3 linked regions of the Elephas maximus indicus genome follow. The protein of the gene in region 3 binds, or shares a complex with, the protein of the main gene of each other region. Links are inferred from orthologs where the notes say so. Each region holds a gene or a part of one and is shown on either strand. Other genes may lie near its edges. The genes, in order: MED24, MED23 and MED13L.

Region 1 (7,827 bases), on a different chromosome or scaffold from region 3:
ACTGCTTCTCTAAGGTGCTAAGTGGTGAAAGGCAGGTGGACACTGGGGCCCATGCTCAGGTCTCATAGAGAAATCCTCCTGCCTCTTCCCCAGGGTGAGGGCAGCAGGGACCAAGACTCTGGACACTCTACCATCAGCTGGCCTGGACTAGAACTCTGCCTTATGGGCCCTAAGGGTACCCTGGAAGGGAGCTGCCATCCCTCACCCACCCCAACCCCCAGGCACCTGCCCCAACTCCCTCCCCTCAAGCCCCTTACAGTCCATGGCCATGCCCACAGCGATGCACTTCTTGAAGCGGCACAGCTGGCACTGATTGCGGGTGATCTTGTCAATGACACAGCAGCTGTCATACTTGCAGGAGTAGGTGGGATGGAGGTTCTTCTGGATTGTGCGGCGAAAGAAGCCCTGGAGCAGGGGAAGACGAGCATGTTGTGATCCTAACCTCCCCTTCCTGAATCAACCATACAGTTCACAGGGGATGGCAGGGGGCGAGATTAGTGAGGGGACCTGGGGTCCTCTTGACACAGCTAGCCCAGGATCACTGGGCTCTGCCAGGGCAAGGGACCTTAGAAACGAGTGCCCTCGCCCCAAGCACCTGGGCAGTGGTGATGGCAGGGCCAAGAATGATGACTGCAGTAGGGAGACTCGGATCTGGGGATAGTGTGTGGTGCCAGGAGGTCTGAAGGAATAGGAGCTTAGGAAGTCCAATTAATACTTTACTTTCCAACTTGCTAAATGACCCTAAAAACAACAGTGACCACAAAATCATTTTCCTGTATGTTGTCAGTTTCCCATGTAGGCGGAATTCGTGAAATAGAGAGACCAAAAAAATTAAGAAAAGACATTTCGGTACATGCTCTAGTAGCTTTAAAAGAAAAATTTCACCAATTATATATACCAGGTTTAGCCCTTTCTTCAAAGGAAAACCCTCAAGAACCAAGATGGTAGTAGTAATGCAAATAGCCAATATTTACTGAATGCTTACTATGTGTCAAGCACTGTAAGCATTTTTATGTGACATGCCATTTAACTATGACGTAGAACTCTTATTGTTCCATTTATAGGCTGGAGACTTAGTGGTGCAGTGCTTAAGCTTGGCTGCTAACTGAAAGGTCAGTGGTTCAAACCCACCAGCCACTCCATGGGAGAAAGATATGGCAGTCTGCTTCCATAAAGATTACAGCTTTGGAAACCCTATGTGGTAGAGTTCTACTCTTTCCTATAGGGCACTATGAGTTAGAATCTATTTGAATTGACTGAACAGCGATGGGCTTGGTTTTTGGTTTCATAGGCTAAGAAACTGAAGCTTAGAGAGATAAAGCAACTTGCCCAATGTCACATGACTAACGGGCAGAAGAGCGAGAGCTGGGCCTCAGATATGGAACAGCAAGGTCTGAGCTCTCAGATTCTGAGATGCACTAAAATCACTTAAGGCAATTACCAAAAATGCAGACTTCTAGGCCCCACTCCAGACCTGCTAAATCAGACTCTCTAGGAGTAGGGCCAAGGCATCTGTCTTTTCAAGATGTTCCCTGGGGATTTAATATCCTTGAGCATGAGGACCCTTGCTCTACACTACACTGCTTGTATTGGTTCCAGGGACACAGCCATGGGACAGTAAATCCTGGTGGTCTTGGTGTAGTTGACACTGAATAATTCTGTTTCCTGGAAGGGCCCACCTTTTCAGGAGGTGGTGATCTGGGAAAAGCCATGCAGGCTGAAATTACCAACAGAAAATCTAATTATGCCTCCCCAAGTCTATGACCTTGTCCGCTCTACACAGGGAGAACCTGCCATCCTCTTCTCCTCTGTGCCCCCACCATGACCCCCAGCAGAGGCTCTCACCTCTTTGGGTATATCAGAAGCAACTGGGGAGCCCATTACAAGGCAGATTCCTGGGCACCACGACAAGAGGCTCTGATTACAGTTGGGATGGGGCCTGGGAATCTGCATTTTATCTAGCATTGTAGGCGGTCCATGAGCCTCATTTTGAAAAACACTGATATTTGTTTCCAGTCTGTCTCTCTCTGACTTGAGGACAGGACATACTCTCCATCCTCACATTTAATACAAGGCCAGGAGCACTGAACGGTTGGGCAATAGTTGGCATTTATTGGGGTGTTTCTTACACGCCTGGCACTGTTTTAAACACTTTATGTGAACTATCCTATTTCATTCTTAACACCTCTATGAGGTAGGCAGAATGATTATTCCAATTTTATAGGTGAAGAAACTGAGGCTCAGAGAGGTTAAGCAAATTACCTGTGAGTGGCAGAGCAGGGATTATGTATGAATGAACAAACAAAAGAATGAATGAATGAATGAGTGCAAAAAGAGAAATGATGGTATTACAGGTGGGCTTGAGGTTACATGTTTATAGAGCTTTTCTATCATGCCAGGTACTGAGGGCCTCAAAGGGAGTGAGATAGGGGCTCAGGCGGTAGGGGAGGGGAGGAGCCGGCTGGTCCATACCTTGCAGCCCTCACAAGTGATGCAGCGGTAGTGATAACCGGTTGCCTTGTCCCCACACACGACACACTGCTCGTCTTTGTCCAGGTAACTAGGGATATACCCTGGGAGGGAGGGAGGGAGGGAGGCAAGCAGGCATGGCTTGGGGTCCCAGCAGATAGGTTCCTGTACTTTCCCCATCCCCCAACTTTTCCTTTCTGGCCATGCCCTCACCCAGCCTCCCTGAAGGGTTGTCTGCAAGGAGAATCCTGGGAACACATCACAGGTCATCATATCTAATCCCTGGCTGACATGAGTTGGAATCAACTTGATGGCAACTGATTTTTTTGTTTTGTTTTTTTAATGAATATGAAGAATCCCAGTCCTTCTGGCTGCCCACTCTGGGCTTTTGCTGCCTTGCTTTCCAAGGGGTAGGGGATGGGGGGGTGGGAGGCAGAAGCAAATATCAGCACTTCTCTCAGGAGAATGCAGTCCCATGGCTCTTCTCTCCAGGCCCTGATTCTGCTGAGGGACTCAGCATGGGGGTTATGGGAGAAGGGAAGAGGCCCTTCCTGACCTAATTCATCCTCAAAGCCTGGTTCATGCGCCACATCAGCCCTCCTACCCCTGGACAAGTCTATCCCAAGCCCTCTGAGAGGATCCCCCCACAGAAGCTGCTGGTGCGTGTCAGACCCCAGGAGAGGCCAGCGCTGGCTGGGGAGCAGGGAGGAAGGGCACACTCAACCAAGCTCACCTGACATGCTGGTTTTCAGGGAACATTGGCCGTTCTTTCTTTTTCGCTTTCCATCTGGTGACCTGGCACTGGATGGGGACAAAGTGGGTGGAATCACAGAGTAGTCCTTGGGAAACCCCTTTCTCATCTGAGAGGCTTATACAACCCCCCAGGCCCAACTCCCTCCATCTGTATCCTCATTCTACCCCCACCCTCAGGTCAGCTGACAAAGCTAAGAAAGGTCCTGCTATCTGGACACTGCAGGGGACAGAGATAAGGGGCTTGGCTGGGGCACAAGCATGTTCTAGGGCCCCAACACACACACACACACACACACACACACACTGCAGAACATTAAGCACTCTGCTGTATAATCTAAAGGACATCCACATACTTCAACCTTCAGTACATGACACAGACGCTGGAGGTGTCCCCAGGACATGCTTAAAGCTACGCAAGCTTTAGAACATGCACACACACATACATGCAACATAACACAAGCACATACAAATAACTATGCAGCCTTCAGTATAAATCCAAGTATGATAAATAGGCACCAGGATCTATCTACATCTATGCAATTTCTAGGGCATTCTCAAATGAGTTATATGACTTCTAGGGTATAGTCATGTGATACACAACCTTCTGGACAGGCACCTAACAATACCACCCCCTCTCCTCCCACTGTGAACATGTTGTTTGATTTTCCAGTCATGCATAGGTACTAAATAATCCACAGTGATTGAAAACATACAGTGCCTAGCTCCCAGCACCTAGAACCAAGAATGAAAGACCAGGAAAGTCCTTCCAGAATCACGCTGTCCATGGCTTCCATTTAACAGAGCAGCAAACCAAAGTCCCACTTGGGCCTGGTGACACCGCATGCTAGAGACAGAGCCAGGACAAGGACCCTGAGCCCCTGCGCTCCAAGTATTAGCAACCCTCCTCCACTGCACATATATGTCACCCTGGTGCTCCATATACATGTTACATAACCCCCCCCAACAGGTTACATAAGCCCTTCTACATGCATGCACGGATTGTATAACCTCCCACACCCACCCTGGCATGTAGCATAGTCAGGACTCCTCCTCCTGGAGCCCAAAACAGCTCCCAACACACTGACACAGTGACCTTGGCCAGGGTCACAATCACAGACAGCCCTGTGCTCCCCACCCCCTGGGGATTACCCCTGTCTGGTTCTGACAAGGCTGGAGGGTCAGGATCTCCTTCTGGTCTACTGGGTGGGGGTGTGTGCGGGAGGAACTCCGGGCCACCTAGGCTCCAGTAGAGCTGGCCTCTTCAGAGATTACCTACCTGGAAGCCTTTGGGTGCAGTCCCAGGGACAGCCACAAGGTGGCGCAGAGACATGGGGGAGGGGACAAAGACGAGAGGGAGGCGGGGGAGGGAGGGGCTGCAACCCTAGGGGGACCGGGAAAGGGCATTCCCGCCTTTCTCCAACCCTTTGGGACAGACTCTCTCAGACCTACAGAAGCCTGGGCAGGGAGGTACAGGAACTACAAGTCGGAGCCGCACTAGGACAGGCCAGATCTTCCTTCTCAGAGTCTCGCCTAGGGTGAGGTTTTGGGGTAGGGGTTCCCTGGGGGGCCCACCAAACTGCAAGCCCCACCCACTTCCTCCACCCCTCCAGGGACCCAGTCTTGGGCCCCAGGGCTTTGCCTGGCCAGGCCTCAGGCCTCCTGGCTCAGGATCTGGTCTCCTAGGCAACAGCCACACTGCTCCCCAGAGCACCCCTCCTCCATCCTCTCTCCGGCCATAGGCACAAGCTGTACCCAGCTTCTGGGGCACTATGCCAACTGGGACAGAACTCTGTGCCACTTGGTGCTGATGGCAGAGACCCTCTGGGCTCCTCAAGGACAATGCAGAGCACAGGTAACCCATCCCTACTTGTGTGTGCTGGGCGGATGCCTCCCCATGTGTGGGGTAAACCTTCACGTGTGGGGTAGTGTGGGGTAAACCTTCACGGTTGGCCTGCGCTTTCCTTCCTGGGAGGAGCTTCATGGTAGCACCCGCCCTTCCCCATAAACAAGGAATAGTTTGTGGGGCTCCCAATAGGTTCCAATACAAACGCGAGCTGTGACCAGTAGTAACTGGTGCATGTGCCCTGAAATGTCATGCTACATGCACCAGGGCCTGTGGACAACACACTTGTGGTCAGATGGTGAATGGGCTGGTAGGGGGAGGAGGAAGGTGGCAAGGCCTTTTGGATACCTCATGCTCAGGTGAGGGCAGCAGTAGCAGAGGAGACACTGGGGGGCATTTGAGACTGTCCAGCATGGTCAAGGGTAGAGCCATATGCTTGCTGCCTGAATACTCTGCTCCGTATCATAGGCGTATGATATGGGCATCTCTGAACCCAGGTGCCTACTTCCCTGCCACATCTAAACGTGACCTCATCTCCTGGGGAAAAGGTAGGTAGGCAGCAGGCTTGCTGGCCTCAAGCCCGTTCCCAAGAGGTGCTTAAAAGGCCTGAGCTCAGTTCTTGTCAGGGAGGCCTTATGCCCAGCCAAGTGACCATGCCCACTGCCTGGGCCTATTACCTGTTCTCCTCTGGGTCTGACCCACACTCCAGCTTGCTTGGCTTCTGTTCCATTCACTTCAATTCCATCCAGGATGCACTCCAGCACGCCAAGAGACTGGGGTGGGCACACAGGCCCCCCCGGCACACCCACAGGCCACCCACCCCCCACCACCCAAGCCCTAGGGCACAGCACCCATGGTGCCTGCCTCAGCACTTGGCCTTCACACCATGCCCTGCGCCCCAAGGGGGGCGGGCAGTGAGAGGGGCCAGGGAGTGGCAGGTGGGAGGGCTAGGGGGTGAGCTGGATTTGTAGGGGTGTCCTGGGCTGGGGTTTGGGGAGTAGGCTCAGTGTCTTGTCCTGTCCTGAAGTCCCTGCAGAGAAAAGAAAGAGAAAGGGTAAGAAGGTTCCATGGTGGGGGGGATTCCTCTGGTGGTAGCAATTTGGGTTCTTGAGGTCCACAACAGGATGATGAAGCACGTGGTGGGCAGGCACAGGTAACCTAGTTATGCTTCCCCAGGGAAGGAACAGGGTAATCTCTTAGATTAGCCAACAAGATTGTAGACTTATATCCTAAACTCCAGAGATGGAGAGGGATGGAGGAAAGGAATGAGGTAATTTGTGTACCGTGTACCACATCTCAATCCTCACATTCTATCAAGTGCCAGGCCCTTAATAAGTATCTATAAACGTCAGCTACTATTACCACCCCTCTAGCTGTTTCCCTAAAACTCATCAGTATTATAGGGGCAAAAGGGGATCAGGGATGAGCAGTTTTCAGCCTAGGCCCTGGGAGAACCAGTAAAGGAAGGGTGGGGTATGAGGACAACGTTCAGGGACCATAGATGCCCATCTTAGTGTCTCAAGGAGAGAGATACTAACAGTGGTGGGGAGCTGACCACACCTGCTGCTGATCAAGTTATGACTCCTCAACCCTGGCCCCCCAGGGACCCCACGGCTTCCCATACAAGGTCCTAGGTCACACTTCCCAGTCTGAGGACCAGACTTCCCAGTCAGTTTAGCTGAGCTGCCACCTACCAGGATGGTGAGGGGAAGGGGAAAGGGAACACGCATTGACTGAGCAGATAATACGTGCCCTCTGAAGTGGGCATCAGAACTTTCCTGATGAGGAAACTGAGTATCAGAAAACTTGATCATTTACTTAAGTTCACATAGCTATAAGCAGGTGGCTCAAGGATTAAACTTAGTGGCCTGGCTCTAATGCTAGCTTTGTTCCACTACCTGGAGTCCAGGGCAGTGCTAGTCTGGGCCCACTATTCCATCTACACAGCACCTCTCAACCCAGGCTGCAGATCTGGGGCTTACTGTGTGTGTACACACAGGCAGGTGTGGGTGTAGGACGGGGACAAAGGGTGCAACTCCCCACACACAACCTCTATCATGTGGCCACTGCACCAGAGATCTCACCCCTGGGCCCCCCCCCAACCCGACCCCCAGGAACTGATAAGGAGCCAGGGTGGGAGGAGAAGGGAGATAAGTCAGGATACTAGGCAGGGCAGGACAACAGGACAGGGCCTCTGCATCCAGGCAAGCCCCCGTGTGGGGAGGAGTGCAGAAGGAAGGCCCATTCTGCCTCTGATACCCCCCCAGGCCAGAACTGGGCACTGGGGGCTGGATAGGAGACTGGGGGAGGGGGGCAAGCGGGGAGCCTTAGCCCAGGGAGCCGTCAAGAAAGTAGGTCAAGTTTTTCTTGGCTTGTGGAGAAATTCCTGTTATAAATTTATAATGGCGTAGCCAGCCCTGAGGGGTGGAGGTGGGTGGGGATGCCCAGGGGCTGGGCACTGGGGCCTGCTGTTCTCAGCCAGCACAGTGAGGGGCAGGGGGCTTGGTAGTCATGGGGGCTGGGCTGGACAAGAGAAGGCTATTTTCTCTCTGTCGCCTAGTCCCACTTCTATCCCTGCCTATCCAGGCCTCATTCGCTGCACAGTCTGTCTCCCTCTGAATGTGTCTCTCTCTCTGGGTCTGGGTGTCTCCCTGTCTCCCCCCAGGCTGTGCCTCGGTGCTTGGCACACCCTGGCTGCGGTGCTGCCCCCGCCTGTCTCCTGCCCGCCTGGCATGCTGCCACCACTTGTTTACAGAAGCTGG
Region 2 (7,321 bases), on a different chromosome or scaffold from region 3:
CTGCCCTGACAGGGAACACAACAGAGAGTCCCTGATGGAGCAGGAGGAAAGTAGGGTGCAGAACTCAAATTCTAGTAAAAACACCAGACTTAATGGCCTGACTGAGTCTGGAGGGACCCCAGAAGACACGGCCCCCAGACTGTTAGCCCCAAACTGAAACCATTCCTGAAACCAACTCTTCAGACAAAGATTAGACCTGACTATTATAAGACATAAAATGATGCTCGTGAAGAGAGTGCTTCTTAGCTCAAGTATTACATGAGACTAAATGGGCAGCTACTGTCCAGAGGGGAGATGAGAAGGCAGAAGGGGATGGGAGCTGGTTGAATGGACACAGGAAATCCGAGGTTGAAGGGAGGAGTGTGCTGTCACATTATACGGAGAGCAACTAGGGTCATATAACAATGCGTGTATAAATTTTTGCTTGAGAAACTAACCTGAACTGTAAACTTTCACTTAAAGGACAATAAAATACATCCATCTATATCTATCTATATCTATATCTATATCTATATCTATATCTATATCTATATCTATATCTATATCTATATCTATATCTATATCTATATCTATATCTATATCTATATCTATATCTATATCTATATCTATATCTATATCTATATCTATATCTATATCTATATCTATATCTATATCTATATCTATATCTATATCTATATCTATATCTATATCTATATCTATGCCATTATTCCCTGTCTTTACGCATAAGAATATGACCCAACTGGAGCTGGATTCATGAGGGTCCACAATCAATTGGGCCCTGAGGTATAAAGACAACACTGAGGACAATCTTGGAAAACATCTTGTAGAGAACTTTTCAAATAACCTCATAAAACAGAGCACAAAAACACTTTCCACTCTTATCTTTTTCTATTAACATTTAGTGAATAGTAAGATTTGTTAGACCAGTGAGGATCCTCCTGACTGCCCTTACTGAAACCTGTGCCAAAGATTACTAAGAAAGACAATTTGAAATGTAGAATCACAGTGACTTAGCAGTTTTTAGCCCAGTCCTACACCATTCTCACAATGGTTCTTATGCTTGAGCCCATTGTTGGCAGCCACTGTCAATCCATCTCATCGAGGATCTTCCTCTTCTTTGCTTACCCTCTACTTTACTAAGCATGCTGTCCTTCAGGGACTGATCCCTCCTGATAACATGTCCAAAGTATGTGCCATGGATTGAATTGTGTCCCCCAAAAATATGTGTATCAATTTGGCTAGGCCATGATTCCCAGTATTGTGTGATTGTCCATCATTTTGTCATCTGATGTGACTTTCCTATGTGTTGCAGATCCTAATCTCTGCCTGTGGTTAATGAGGCAAGATTAGATTATGTTAAGGAGGATTAGGGTAGGATATAACACCCTTGCTCAGGTCACATCCCTGATGCAATGTAAGTTGAGATTCCCTGGGATGTGGACTGCACCACCTTTTATCTTACAAGAAATAAAAGGAGAGGGAAGTGAGCAGAGAGGGGAACCTTGTATCACCAAGAACGCAGCATCGGAGGCAGAGTGCATTCTTTGGACCAGTGGTTCCTGTGCAAAGAAGCTCCTGGACCAGGAGAAGACTGATGACAAGGACCTTCCTCCAGAGCTGACAGAGACAGAAAGCCTTCCTCTGGAGGTAGCACCCTGAATTTGGTCTACTAGCCTCATAGACTGTGAGAGAATAAATTTCTCTTTGTTAAAGCCATCCACTTGTGGTATTTCTGTTATAGCAGCATTATATAACTAAGACAGTATGTGAGACATAATCTCGCCATCCTGGCTTTTAAGGAGCATTCTGGCTGTACTTCTTCTAAGACAGATTTGTTCATTCTTTTGGCAGCCCATGATATATTCAATTTTCTTTGCCAACACCATAATTCAGAGGTGTCAATTCTTCTTTGGTCTTCCTTATGTATTGTCCAACTTTTGCATGCATATGAGGCAATTAAAAACACCATGGCTTGGGTCAGGTGGACTTTAGTCTTCAAGGTGACATCTTTGCTTTTTAACGCTTTAAAGAGGTCTTTTGCCCAGGTTTGCCCAATGCAATGTATCGTGTGATTTCTTGACTGATGCTTCCATAGGTGTTGATTGTGGATCCAAGTAAAATGAAATCCTTGGCAACTTGAATATGTTCTCCATTTATCATGATGTTGCTTATTAGTCCTTGTCTTAGTTATCTAGTACTGTTATAAGAGATATACCACAAGTGGATGGCTTTTACAAAAAGAAATTTATTTCTTCACAGTAAAGTAGGCTAAAAGTCCAAATTCAGGGCTTCAGCTCCAGGCGACGGCTTTGTCTCTCCGTTGGCCTTCTCATCAATCTTGCCCCAGACAAGGACCTTCTCCGAGCAGGGACCCCAGGTCCAAAGGATGTGCTCTGCTCCCGGCACTGCTTTCTTGGTGATGTGAGGTCCCCCGCCCCTGCTCGCTTCCCTTTCCTTTTTGTCTCTTGAGAAATAAAAGGTGGTGCAGGCCACACCCCAGGGAAACTCCCTTTACATTGGATCAGGGATGTGACTTGGGTAAGGGTGTTGCAATCCCACCCTAACCCTCTTTAACATAAAATTACAATCACAAAATGGAAGACAACCACACAATACTGGGAATCATGGCCTAACCAAGTTGGCACATATTTTGGGGGGACACAATTTAATCCATGACAGTCCTATTGTCAGAATTTCAGTTTTCTTTATGTTGAGGTGTAATCCATACTAAACGCTGTGGTCTTTGATCTTCATCAGTAAGGGCTTTAAGTCCTCTTTACTTTCAGCAAACACGGTTGTGTCATCTGTGTAATGCAGATTGTTAATGAGTCTTCCTCCAATTCTGATGCCCCTTTCTTCTTCATATAGTCCAGGTTCTCAGATTATTTGCTCAGTTTACAGGTCGACTAAGTATGGAGAAAAGATATAACTCTGACACTCACCTTTCCTGACTTTTAAACCATTCGGTATCCCCTTGTTTTGTTCAAACTACTGCCTCTGGGTGTATGTACAGGTTCTACATGAGCACAATTAAGTGCTCTGGAGCTCCCATTCTTTGCAATGTTCTCCATAATTTGTTACAATCCATACAGTCGAATGCCTTTGCATAGTCAATAAAACACAAGTAAATATCTTTCTGATATTCTCTACTTTCAGTCATGATCTGCCTGACGTCAGCAATGATATCCTTAGTTCCATGTCCTCTTCTGAATCTGTCTTGAATTCCCTGGCAGTTTCCTGTGGATGTGCTGCTTCAGCCACTTTTGAATGCTCTTCAGCAAAATTTTACTTGTATGATAAATGGAAACCCTGGTGGTGTAGTAGTTGAGTTTGGCTGCTAACCAAAAGGTTGGCATTTCGAATCCACCAGGTGCTCCTTGGAAAGTCTCTGGGGCAGCTCTAATCTGTACTATAGGGTTGCTATGACTCAGAATCAACTCGACAGCAATGGGTTTTTTACGGGTGAAATTAACGCTGTTGTTTGATAATTTCTGCATTCTGTTGGATCATCTTTCTTTGAAATCGGCATAAATATGGATCTCTCCCAGTAAGTTGGCCAGGTAGCGGTCTTCCAAATTTCTTGGCTTAGACAAGTGAGCACTTCCAGTTCTCCATCCATTTGTTGAAACATCTCAGTTGGTATTCTGTCCATTCCTGGAGGCTTGTTTTTCACCAATGCCTTCAGTGCAACTTGGATCTCTTCCTTCATACCATAGGTTCCTGATTATATGCTACCTCCCGATATCGTTTAAAGTCAACCAATTCTTTCTGGTATAGTGTTATTAGTACTTAAAAAATGGTAAATATTTTTATTATTAGATGACTATACCTAAAAAGGTAGATTTTATTCTTTGATGGTTCGAATTAAAATTCAGTAGTGATGCATTCATATGTCCTTTTTGTCTGGCACTCTGCTAGGCCACCTCGGTCACCATACTTAAAAAGTCATGGTACCTGTGAAGAGAAGTGTTGTTTCACCTCAGGGCTCTAGGCTGCACCAGAAGGCCAGGTGCTCACAGAAAGCTGGTTGGTCCAGGCCGTGGCAGAAGTTGTTTTCTGCAGGCTGCAGCCCCTAGGCTCTATACCTTCTCCCCAGTCTAAGAGTTTTAGGAAGCAACTCCTATTCCAGCCAGAGGGTGGCGGCCTGCAGCCGACAACGCTTCTGGGTGTCTTGGGCTTGAGTATCCGCTTGAGGGCGCGCTCGCGAGCAGCCCTTCTGCACAAGCGGAACTATCTGGCGGGCCTCCTGGTTTGGGGGGGGTTCTGTAATCGGCGCGTACCCACCTCTCCGGGCTTCCGTGCAGCCTCCAGTTGTGTGCGGGGCCCTGGAGAAGACGTTTCCGGCTCGGTGCTTGGAGAGGAAAGTGACGCGGGTGAGAGCCGCGGTTTTTTCCGGGCGTCTCCGCCCCTTTGGCCCTCCGTTCCCGAGGCTCGGGCCAGACCCCGGCCGCGCTGGGACCCACAGGAAGGTGGGGCGATGGTGCAGATGGAGACACAACTGCAGAGCATTTTTGAGGAGGTGGTGGTGAGTGGAACTAGTCGGGGTCCCGGGCGATGCAGCGGGAGAGGCGGGGGCAGCGGATCAATTAGGTCGGCCTGGGCAGCCGCCTCCTCCGTCCTCGTTGCGACGCGGTGTGAGTGTGCAGGCGTTGGTGGTTCTCAGGCTGGTGTCACGCTCAGGGTCGCCTTTGAAATCCCCAGCTCTCTGGTGACAGGCGGCGGGTGCCGGTAGTTTCTGCACGTTGCCCATTGAGATGCTTGTACTGTGTCGTTAGGGGTACCACCCCCCTCCGTTTTTTATTTGTTTACGTGTGTCTTTTTTTTTTTTAATTGTTTTACAGAAAACGGAAATTATAGAAGAGGCGTTCCCTGGGTGAGTATAATGCATGGCAGATTTTTATGTTTTTACGTGAGGGTGTCTTTGTAAGACAGGTTTTTCTTGGGTTCTGTAAAATCGACTGTTCTAGTTATGATGGATTGACTTTTTAAAGCTAGTGGCAAATAATATAATTTTGGGTTTTTTGTTTGTTTAGCATGTTTATGGATACCCCTGAAGATGAAAAAACAAAACTTATAAGCTGTTTGGGGGCCTTCAGACAGTTTTGGGCTGGTCTTTCTCAGGTGAGCACTGCATTTTTAATATATTCAGCTGATGATTTGGGGGTTCCCTCCCCCGTTTTATTTTTTACATTTACTTTGATGGTATTGTTAAGTTTTTTTCTGGAAAAGGAGAGATCAAATCGTTATATTTTTTCTCTTATTTGTCTCTTTTGGTTTCCATTTGTTTTAATTTGTGTACTTCCCAGTGGAAATCTGTATTGAGAAGTCATGATGATAGCACAGTGTGGGATGTCTTTATGATGCTTTTTAAAAAGTTCCTATGTTAGATTATGTAAGACGTTTTCATCCTATTCTGATTTATTTGGTGACTTGCAAACAGCTGTGTTAGGCATTGTAAAGAATATAACTTTCACTCATTTATGGATAAGAGGAACTGGCACAGTATTGAAACAAAGACTATCATGAAGATACAATAATCCTATAGTAAAGATACAAAGATACCACAATATAGATACAAAGAAATTATAATAGGGATACATGCATAGTATAATAAAAAATGGGCAGAAGAGCAGTAAAACTTAGTTAACAATCACCAGAAAATGTATCCATGAAAAAGACAAAATGTTTGATACTTAAAGAGGTCATGTTGGAGTAGTGCATTACAGGTAGGGAGATGAGAACTGTTTGCAGTTGAGCTGCTGCTGGTAAAACATGCCACTCAGACATAGATCACGCAGTGGCCGTACATTAACTTTTTGTTTGTTTTAATTGTCTTCTTATAGATAATACAAGCATGTGGTTCAAAATACAAAGGAGTAGATCCAAAGAATAGTTTCTTCGCATCTCTTTTAGATTGATCCCCTGTTCTTTTTCCTGTCTGCAGTCATTGTCCCCAGTTTAATAATTTATGAATATAGAATCATTTTATAGGGTGGTCATATACTGTGCACACTGCTAATTACCAGCTTGGCTTCCCCCTTTAATGATAAATTAATGTTTATTATTAATAGATATTTAATAATATTCATTGTTATTAACAAATAACTTTTAATAATGACAGTAAATTCTCTTTTTGCCAAGGCTTAATATTCCATTGTATGTCTGCACCTTTATTTAACTGGTCTCCTACAGACTGACATTTAGGTTGCTTCTTTCTTTTTCCACTTTAAACAATGCTAGAATGAATGATAGTATGCACAGGACATAGGATAAATTTCTGGAAGTGGTATTGCTGGCTTAAAGGTTATGTCTGTTTATAATTTTTATGGAAATTGCCAAATACCAGTTTCTACCTGGTTAACAATGTCTGAGGAGCCCTGATGATGCAGTGGTTAAGTGCTCGGCTGCTAACTAGAAGGCCTGGCAGTTCGAACTTACCAGCCACTCTGAGGTAGAAAGATGTGGCACTCTGCTTCTGTGAAGATTACAGCCTTGGAAACCCTATGGGGCAGTTCTACTCTATCCTATAGGGTCAGTATGAGTTGGAGTGGACTTGACAGCAACAAGTTTAGCAATGCACGAGAGCCCTCAGCCCAGCAATTCAGTAGAGACAAATTCTGAGAACCACTAGTAGAGCAGTAATTCTTAAAATGTATCATATGTAAGAATCACTGGGAATCTTGTTAAGAACGTAAGTTCTTATTCAGTATATCTGGAGTGGAAATAACAAATTCACAGAAGGGGTTTAAACCAGAATGAACCATTTTGAAGCCCTGAAGTGCAGTTAATAATAACTGCCTTCAGCAGTTATTAAAACTATTTGGACAATGTACAGCACAACTTGATCAAGACAAGGTCACAGAAGCTTCACAGACAAATGCAAACTCCTTGAGGGACTGAACTGTGGGGCCACGAGCTGGGGACCACAGTCTTGGGGGATATCTGGCTCAACCGGCGTTATATAGTTTATAAAGAAAATGTTCTACATCCTGCTTTGGTGAGTAGCATCTAGGATTGTGAAAACTTGTGAGCAGCCGTCTAAGATACTCCGCTGGTTCCACCCCATCTGGAGCAGGGGAGAATGAAGAAAACCAAAGATACAAGGTAAAGATTAGTCTAAAGGACTGATATATCCAACTACCACAGCCTCCACCAGACTAAGTCCAGCACAACTAGATGGTGCCAGGCTACCACCTCTGATCTCTCTGACAGGGATCACAATAGAGGGTTCTAGGCAGTGCGGGAAAAAAATGTAGAACAAAAATCAAATTCACAAAAAAAAGACCAGACTTACGGGTCTGACAGAGGCTGGAGGAACCCT
Region 3 (7,770 bases):
CATGTTACAGCTAGCATTTTATTCTGTTTTAATTCGAAAGGAAATAAATCCAATAAAGTTTAGATTAAAAGAAAAAAAAAACCCTCAAGTGTTATGATTGGGTGATGCTTTCCCTTGTACAAGGATGGACAAATGACTGCAATTGTTGTAATTTATGGATCACTGCCCGGTGGGGGGCAGGCACTGAGCTCAGGACCTTCCCTGAGTCATCACTCTGGGAGGCCACTGCAGAGGAAGAAATGGGGTCTCAGAAGAAGAAATGACCTGCTCAAGGCCATGCAACTAGTATACCTGAGCGCAGGGATTGGAACCCAGGTATGTCTTAGAAACTGACATTCTTTTTTTCTTTTAAATTGTGCTTGAGGTGAAAGTTTACAGCTCAAGTCTCAAGTTAGTTTTTCATACAAAAATGTATACACATGTTGTTATGTGACCCTAATTGCAATCCCTATATTGTGACAGCACGCTCCCCCTTTCCACTCCACGTTTCCCACGTCCATTTAAGCAGCTCCTGTCCCTTTCTGCCTTCTTATCATGCCTCCAGACAGGAGCTGCCTATTTAGTCTCATGTACTTACTTGAACTAAGAAGCACACTCTTCACAAGTGTTATTTTACATTTTATAGTCCAGTCTAATCTTTGAAGAGTTGGAGAAGCCAACATTCTTAACTCCTACAAAATGCTCCCAACCTGCGGCTGCATAGGTCTCCAGCAGTCTTCCTAACACAGTAGATAGTTCCTCCTCTGATAGTATTTTTGCTTCCATTTTCTCTCTGCCCTTAGGTTTGGTAACCATGAAAAGGAACTAACCTGTCATTCTCAGAATAAGACCTGAGACCTGTGCAAAGTGGAACTTCTGTTTCCTGCCTGGGCCACAGGCACTCTCATAAATGGGGAAACCGAGTCCTGCTTAAGAGGTGCCTCTGACATAGGGGACTTGTCCCAGGAGCCCGCGCGGCTGGTTCACTGCCTCCACACTTCGTACTAGTCAGTTGCTGGTTTTTTGTTTTATTTCAATCATATCTCCTGAGGCCCTCCACCAACTCCCATTGAGTTAAGAGCCCTGTGGATCTTTATCAGTAATCTCAACTGTACAGAGAATTAAAGAATTTCATGGCTGGATTATGACCATAAGGACCACCCAGGTCGCCCTTTTTTACACATGAGGCAAGTGAGGCCCAGAGAGGTCAGGTGGCTTGTCCCAGGTCACACAGCTTTTCAGTGGTACACCTGGGGACTAGAACCTGGTTCCCCCAGGTTCTCTTTCTGTACTCATGTTGCCAGGCTAATCACACTCAGCGTCAACTCAGCCCTCCTGGCTTTTTCTTTTCCACGTCGGGTCCTTGGCTTTGACGGCCAAGGAAATCTCCTCGGACCAGTTTTATTTTCATTATCTGGTTTGTTTGGGGTTTTATTTACTTTTATGGTGCCATTACTTGGTTATTCTGTTTTCGATTTTATTTATTTACTGTCGTTGTTTATAACTTGCCGCTCGAGTAGGTATTTATGCATTTGGTTAAAAAACAAAACAAAACTATATAGTGCAAAGTAATTCTTCTCACCCTGGCTCCCATTCCTCTAATCTCCCTACCTAGGGACAATTGATATTACTAGTGTTTGGAGTAATCTTCTAGAGAGATCTCTGTTGATAATATATTTTTGAGATTATTCTTTCTTTTATTGTGGTAAAAGTTTATGTAACAAAACAGGTGACATTTTAACAATCTACCCCCGTAGCCCAATGACACTACCTATGTTTATCATGTTGCTCAAGGAGCTCTAGTAGCACAAGTTAAGTGCTCGGCTGCTAACTGGAAGGTTGGTGGTTCGAACCCATCCAATGGCTCCACAGAAGAAACACCTAGAGATCTGCTCCTGTAAAGATTACAGCCTAGAAAACTCTATGGGGCAGTTCTACCCTGTCACATAGAGTTGCTATGAGCCGAAAATTGACTTGATGACACCTAACAACAACATCATGTTGTTCAACTATGACCCTTAACAGAAGCCCAGTGTCCCTCCCCTAAGGAGATTATTCTTCATAAGTACATGTATCGATCGCTAACACATTATATTTAGTGACTGCAAAGGATTAAATTATATTAACGGAAAAGAAAAAAAAAAAAAAAAAAAGAAACCAAACCCACTGCCGCCAAGTCTATTCCCGAAACAGTGACTCTATAGGACAGAGCAGAACTGCCCCATAGGGTTTCCAAGGAGTAGCTGGTGGATTTGAACTGCCGACCTTTTGGTTAGCAGCTGTAACTCTTAACCACTGCGCCACCAGGGCTCCAAATTATATAAAGTACTCCTCAAATGATGAACATGTAAGTGTTTTCCAGTTTTTGCTGTACAGACAATCCTATAGTTCATGTCCTTGCACGACGCGTCTTTGTGTATCTGTACAAGTACGCTCCTAGAGGCAGAATTGCCAGGTCAGAGGGGTCTGTTCATTTTTCTATTTTGATATTCACCAAATTGATGCTGAAAGCTCCATAGCCAATTTGTATTCCCGGCGACAACGTGTGAGACCCCTGCCTCCCTCTAGGTTTGCCTAAACTTCTAAAATATCGTCATTACTTATTATGGTTTTAATTCTGTTTTTCTTGTGATGAATGAAGCAGAGCATCTTTTTAAATATTTCAAAAGCATATGTATTTCCCATTCTGCAAACTCCATGTCCTCTGCTAATTTTTCTATTAGATTTTGTTCTGGAAAGTTTTTTTTTTTTCTTTTTTTTTGGTCCTAAACTTGCTGAAGAACGTGTTTGGTTACTAGGCGTGTGGGATGAAGCCCACCTGAGATGTAAATACATGAAATTTGGGCATCTGAATCTGATGGACCGGTACACTGCCTTTCTACTCAGGCTAAGCAACACTATGCGTGTAGATAAAAGTCCTTTTGATTTTTTTCAAAACACTTTAATAAATGGTATCTTAATAATCAAACCAAACCTATTGTTCTCAAGTTGATTCTGACTCAGTAATCCTATAGGACAGAGCTGAACTGCCCCATAGGGTTTCCAAGGCTGTAATATTTCCCAGGGCAGATTGCCAGGTCTCCCCCACCCCCAGCAGAGTCACTGGTGGGTTCGAACCCCCTACCTTTCAGAGCAGCCAAGCACTTAACCATTGCACTGTCAGAGCTCCTTAGAAATTCACAACATTGGCCTTAGATGGGGGGGGGGGGGGTTTGTCAATAATCAGGATCCCTTTTTGACAGATGAAGGAGCCCTGGTGGCACAGTGGTTAAGTGCTCCGCTGCTAACTGAAAAGTTGGGTGAGTTTGAACCCATCGGCTGCTGCTCAAGAGAAAGATGTGGCAGTCTGCTTCGGTAAAGATTTACAACCTTGGAAACCCTATGGGGCAGTTCTACTCTGTCCTATAGGGTCGCTATGAGTCGGAATCGACTCGACGGCAGTGGGTTTGGCTTTTTTCTTTTTTTTTTTTTTTTTTGAGACTATTCCCTGCGAGGCGTGCGGAGAAGCATAGTGCAAGAGCCTGACTTCAGTGTCCGTGGGTGCATGTGTTCGAATCTTGACACCTCTTCTTCGCAGCAGCGCTGGCTCGCGCAAGTGACTTAATCTCTTTGTGCTTCAGTTTGCTCGTCTGTGAAACGCAGACGAGAGCGCAGGACCCACCTCCCGAGGAGCGAGGCTGCGATGCGACGCTCCCCGGGGCACTTGATGGACCTGCTGTCTGACCCGCAGCGAGCCTCGGCCACGCAGCCAGCCCGGGGGCAGCAGCGAGGGGCTCGCGCCCTCTACCGCGGCCGCCGCGAGCGTTCCCGAGGCCCGCGGTCGCGCCCCTCAGCCGCCCGGGCGCTCCGCAAGGGTCCGGGCCCCGCGAGGGGGCGGGGCGCCCACAGAGCACTGGGCCCGGTAGCCCACCGCCCTCCGGAGGGTCGGGCCGACCGCACTTCTTTCTCTCCCTCCGCGTCTCTGCCCCTCTTCCCGGCCCGAGAAGCCGGCCGCGCTCGGCTCAGCAGCGCCTCCCGCGAGCCGCCACCGCCGCCGCCGCCGCCGCTCCCGGCCCCTCCCCCGCCCGCCCGCGCCCCCCCGCGCGGCCGGCGCCCGTCACGTGACACGGCGCCAGCCAATGGCGGGCCGAGCCGCGGTCGGCGGCCGCCATTGCTGTCAGAGCGAGCGAGCCCGGGGAGGGAGGAGAAGCGAGGCTTACTGGGGAGGAGGGGGGGGGTGGGGGAGGAAGAGGAAGGAGGGGACGTCGCTCGGCTGCCGGGGTCGCCCGCTGGCTTCGTCCGCACCCCCCCCTTCGCGAGTTCGCGCTCCGCGGCGGCGGCGGCTCCGAGGCGGCGGCGGCGGCGGCGGCGGCTCCGGGGCTCGCCTCCCCTCACGCGCCGGCGGGGGCTGAGGGGGAGTCGGTGGCTGGAGATAAACAAGGCGGCGGCGGCGGCCGAGGAGCAGGGAAGGCGGAGGCGGCGGCCGGCCCGCAGCGCCGGCCCGGGAGCCAGCGGCGGCCCTGAGAGGCGGGGAGGGCGCCGGGCCGCGCGGACAGCGCCCCCCGCTGCCGCCTCAGCCGCCGCCGCCGCCGCCGCCCGAGCAGGAAGGAGCCGCGCGGCCGCCGCGGACCCCCCCGCCGGCCCGGGCCCGCCGCCCCCGGCGCGGCGTCGCCGCGGCGCCTCCCGCCCTCCTCCTCCTCCTCCTCCGGCGGCGGCAGCGGCCCGGCCGCCCCGCGCTTCCCGGTGAGGCGCCGCCGTCCGGCCCGGCCTCGCCTCGGACGCCTCGCTCCGACATGCCCCGCTCTGGCGGCCGGGCTCGCGGAGGATCATGACTGCGGCAGCGAACTGGGTGGCGAACGGGGCGAGCCTGGAGGATTGTCACTCCAACCTCTTCTCGCTGGTGAGTAGCCGGGCTGCGGGGAGGGGGGCTGGGCCGGGGGCGCCGACCCCGCCGCCGACCCCGCCGCCGATCAACTTTCTCCTCCCGCCGCCGCCGCCGCCGCCGCTGCCGCCGCCGCCGCCGCCGCCGGGACTTCGCCCCTCCCCGCGGGTCGCCTCTGGCCGCTGCTCTCCCTTGGATCGTCTCTCCTCCGCCTTGGACCCCATCCAGTGTTTATTTGGCTCTTTAAAAATCATTTGTGAGCGCGGCGCCCGGCGTGGAATTGGCATGTGGAAGTCTCAAAGCTGCGGATTCTGGGTCGCACTCGGAGCGCCCACCCTCTGTTGCAATCACACCCCCTCCCGTCTGCCCCCCTTTCCCCCCAAATGTGGAAGGAAGGCTTTGCCTGCTGCTGCCCGCGCCTGCCGTGGGCTGCTAGCAGCCTCGTCCCCCCGGTCGGATCGGCTGTCCGCCCGCCTCCCTTTTGAATTTTTTTTTTTTTTTAAATGCTGTAATGACACCTGCAATTTCGCCCGAAAACAGTTGATCGAATGCGATTGTGTCAGTAAAGGACTCTTGCACCCGGAGCTGCCGCGATTGTAAACACCGACAGCCGCCCGCCCGCCTCTCGGGGCTCAAACGCCGGAGAGCCAGAAAGCCATTGCACCGAGCCGACGGAAGGTGGAGAAAGCTTTTTCTTTTTTCTCTCCCCCTGTGTCTTTTAAAAACTGTTTTCTCTATCCTAACAACGAATCCACACACACACAAAAAAGCAACAAGCTGGGCGGTTTGATAACATCGCTTTTATCTGCCTTCGCCTGGCTCCCTCTCTCTCTCTGATAATTGACAACTTTTCCCTCGGATTTGAATCGCCTGCCTTAATCTTGAAGCAGTTAGGGTGTCAATTGTTCTCCTGGAAGCCCGGCACCCGACGGCGGCGGCTAGATTCATCGAAATTAAAAATGTATAGGACTCCAGCAACTCTTTCCCTGGCGGTGGCAGTGACATTTGGTGGTAAATGCCATCTTTGCTTTTTATTGGGTCGTATTACCTTCTCTGAAAACATTCACGTTGTTAAACCTGGCGTTTAGGCTAATAATTGCAGTGCGTGGTCTTTAAATATGTGCTTTGTGCATGAGTTACTGTATGGAGAGCTATGTGCCCGGGAGAGTAGGAATTTGTTTAAATATTGAGCAAAGGTTTGTAAACAGATGTAAGGCAATTATGTTTGAAGCGTAGAATATAATTGGAAAATTGGCTGAACGGTCTATTTAATTTAGTCTAAAAACAAAAACCAACTTATTTTAACTTGGGTACACTGTTTTGGGGGGATTGCTTTTTGGAGAGTATGCATTTTGGAAATTATTTTCTGTAACCTCTACTGTAGACGGAAGCATCATTTCCTTTTAATCCTTGTTTACACTGGATAAATAATTTAGTGTTCAAATTGTAATTAGTTACATTTAATTATGGGTGGCATAGATCCCCCCCTTAGGGACTAGTGGAGAAATGCAAATTCTTGCCAACTTTTCAAATAAAGTGTTATTAAATATGTTACAGTATTTATGCAGATAAAAAAGTCAACACATGAGATTGTTAGCTACAAAGACTGAGAGACATAGTATCCATGCTTCTACTATAGTACAACCAGGTTACATTTTTTTTTTTCAAACATTCTTATTCAGATATATAATCTTTAAATTCATTTTTAAGTAGTAATTCTTCCTTTTGGTACTGTGATGATTTTCTTGTGATCTTTTAACATATGGGAGTAAAGCTCATTTTGTCTTTTCCTTTTTCCCCTATCACTTAGTATCAGTCAGGTTCAGGGACTCATAGATCAGCAAACATATTGATTAAGGGGTATTTAAAATGTTTTTTGTTTGGCAGCTGGTGACCGCATTGACACTTTTACAGGTAATTAAAATAACCAAATAGACCAATATTGGTGAGGAGAGAGCCCCCAAATTACCATATATCATACTGACTGGTAATGGCTTGTATACGTATATGTGGCTAATTTATATACGGTAGATTAGACAACTGCAATGTATTACCTGTATAGGCAGTGTCTAGGATATATCGTTGCTTTTATCTTCTTTTTTTAAAAGCTAAGTGAGAGTGATAATGTCTTAGAGATAAGATGCTTGAGATTCTTCTGGACAAACAATTTTGTAGGCAAGGATGCTGTACTTTGATTATGACCAATTCAAGTTTTGTGCTTTGAGTATATCTTCCCTCAGCCTCTTTAAATCAGGAAGAGATTTTTGAATATATCTTTTTTTTTTTTTTTAATTTTAAGAATGACTTTTAGGTAGCAACTTTCAAATTCAGAACGGCAGAAATGCATAGCTTGATTTTTTTTTTAAGGACTATAAAGTGTTTAATTGCTACATTCTTTGGTACAGGGAGGGTGGGTAAGGTGCTTTTTTTTTTTTTTTAAATGATGAATCAGTTAAAAAGCTGCTGACTATTATAGCTCTTTCTGGTTGCAAATTGAGAATTTTAATTGAAAATCATATACAGTAGCACCCTAGACTATTAAAAATATGTTGCTTAAGGTGCATTATATGGAATAGTTGAGACTGCCAAGAGATGTCATCATCACCTGTTCAAAATAAAGCATGTCTTGTAAGAAGAATTCTTAATATGTTAAATAATAGCATATATTTTTCCTTGTGTCCTGTAGTTTTTTTTTAAGTGGAGAGAAGTATTGTTTATAGAGAATTTACCTAGATACTCGTATTAGTGTGGATTGAAATATAAACTGGAGGTTAAAGTTCTGTACCACAGTAATGACCTTGCCACTTTCTCTTACCTTAAAGTGTTCATTATGGTTTAACAAAAGTCGGTTGTGCAATTGGGTGCCTTAAGATTTCTGCTTGTGCTTTACTTATGTTGCTTTCAAATTTTTACTTTTCTCCTTTGAGGCT

What was found.
Region 1: MED13L (region 3) and MED24 share a complex: the UniProt entries of both Homo sapiens proteins name them as parts of the mediator complex. The link is inferred for Elephas maximus indicus from reciprocal best matches to the Homo sapiens genes MED13L and MED24.
Region 2: MED13L (region 3) and MED23 share a complex: the UniProt entries of both Homo sapiens proteins name them as parts of the mediator complex. The link is inferred for Elephas maximus indicus from reciprocal best matches to the Homo sapiens genes MED13L and MED23.

The regions. Positions count from the first base shown.
Region 1 is NC_064837.1:47,307,328-47,315,154, reverse strand, and holds the start of MED24 (mediator of RNA polymerase II transcription subunit 24), read left to right. Parts: upstream 1-4,786; 5' UTR 4,787-5,360; coding exon 5,361-5,613; intron 5,614-5,742; coding exon of another isoform or gene 5,743-5,795; exon of another isoform or gene 5,796-6,095; intron 6,096-7,827. Other genes in the region: THRA (thyroid hormone receptor alpha), read right to left, coding at 258-405, 2,473-2,573, 3,203-3,270, 5,743-5,795. UniProt on the Homo sapiens protein: Component of the Mediator complex, a coactivator involved in the regulated transcription of nearly all RNA polymerase II-dependent genes.
Region 2 is NC_064819.1:200,455,527-200,462,847, reverse strand, and holds the start of MED23 (mediator of RNA polymerase II transcription subunit 23), read left to right. Parts: upstream 1-4,298; 5' UTR 4,299-4,477; coding exon 4,478-4,525; intron 4,526-4,841; coding exon 4,842-4,873; intron 4,874-5,033; coding exon 5,034-5,121; intron 5,122-7,321. UniProt on the Homo sapiens protein: Required for transcriptional activation subsequent to the assembly of the pre-initiation complex. Component of the Mediator complex, a coactivator involved in the regulated transcription of nearly all RNA polymerase II-dependent genes.
Region 3 is NC_064840.1:14,030,995-14,038,764, reverse strand, and holds the start of MED13L (mediator of RNA polymerase II transcription subunit 13-like), read left to right. Parts: upstream 1-4,694; 5' UTR 4,695-4,786; coding exon 4,787-4,858; intron 4,859-7,770. UniProt on the Homo sapiens protein: Component of the Mediator complex, a coactivator involved in the regulated transcription of nearly all RNA polymerase II-dependent genes.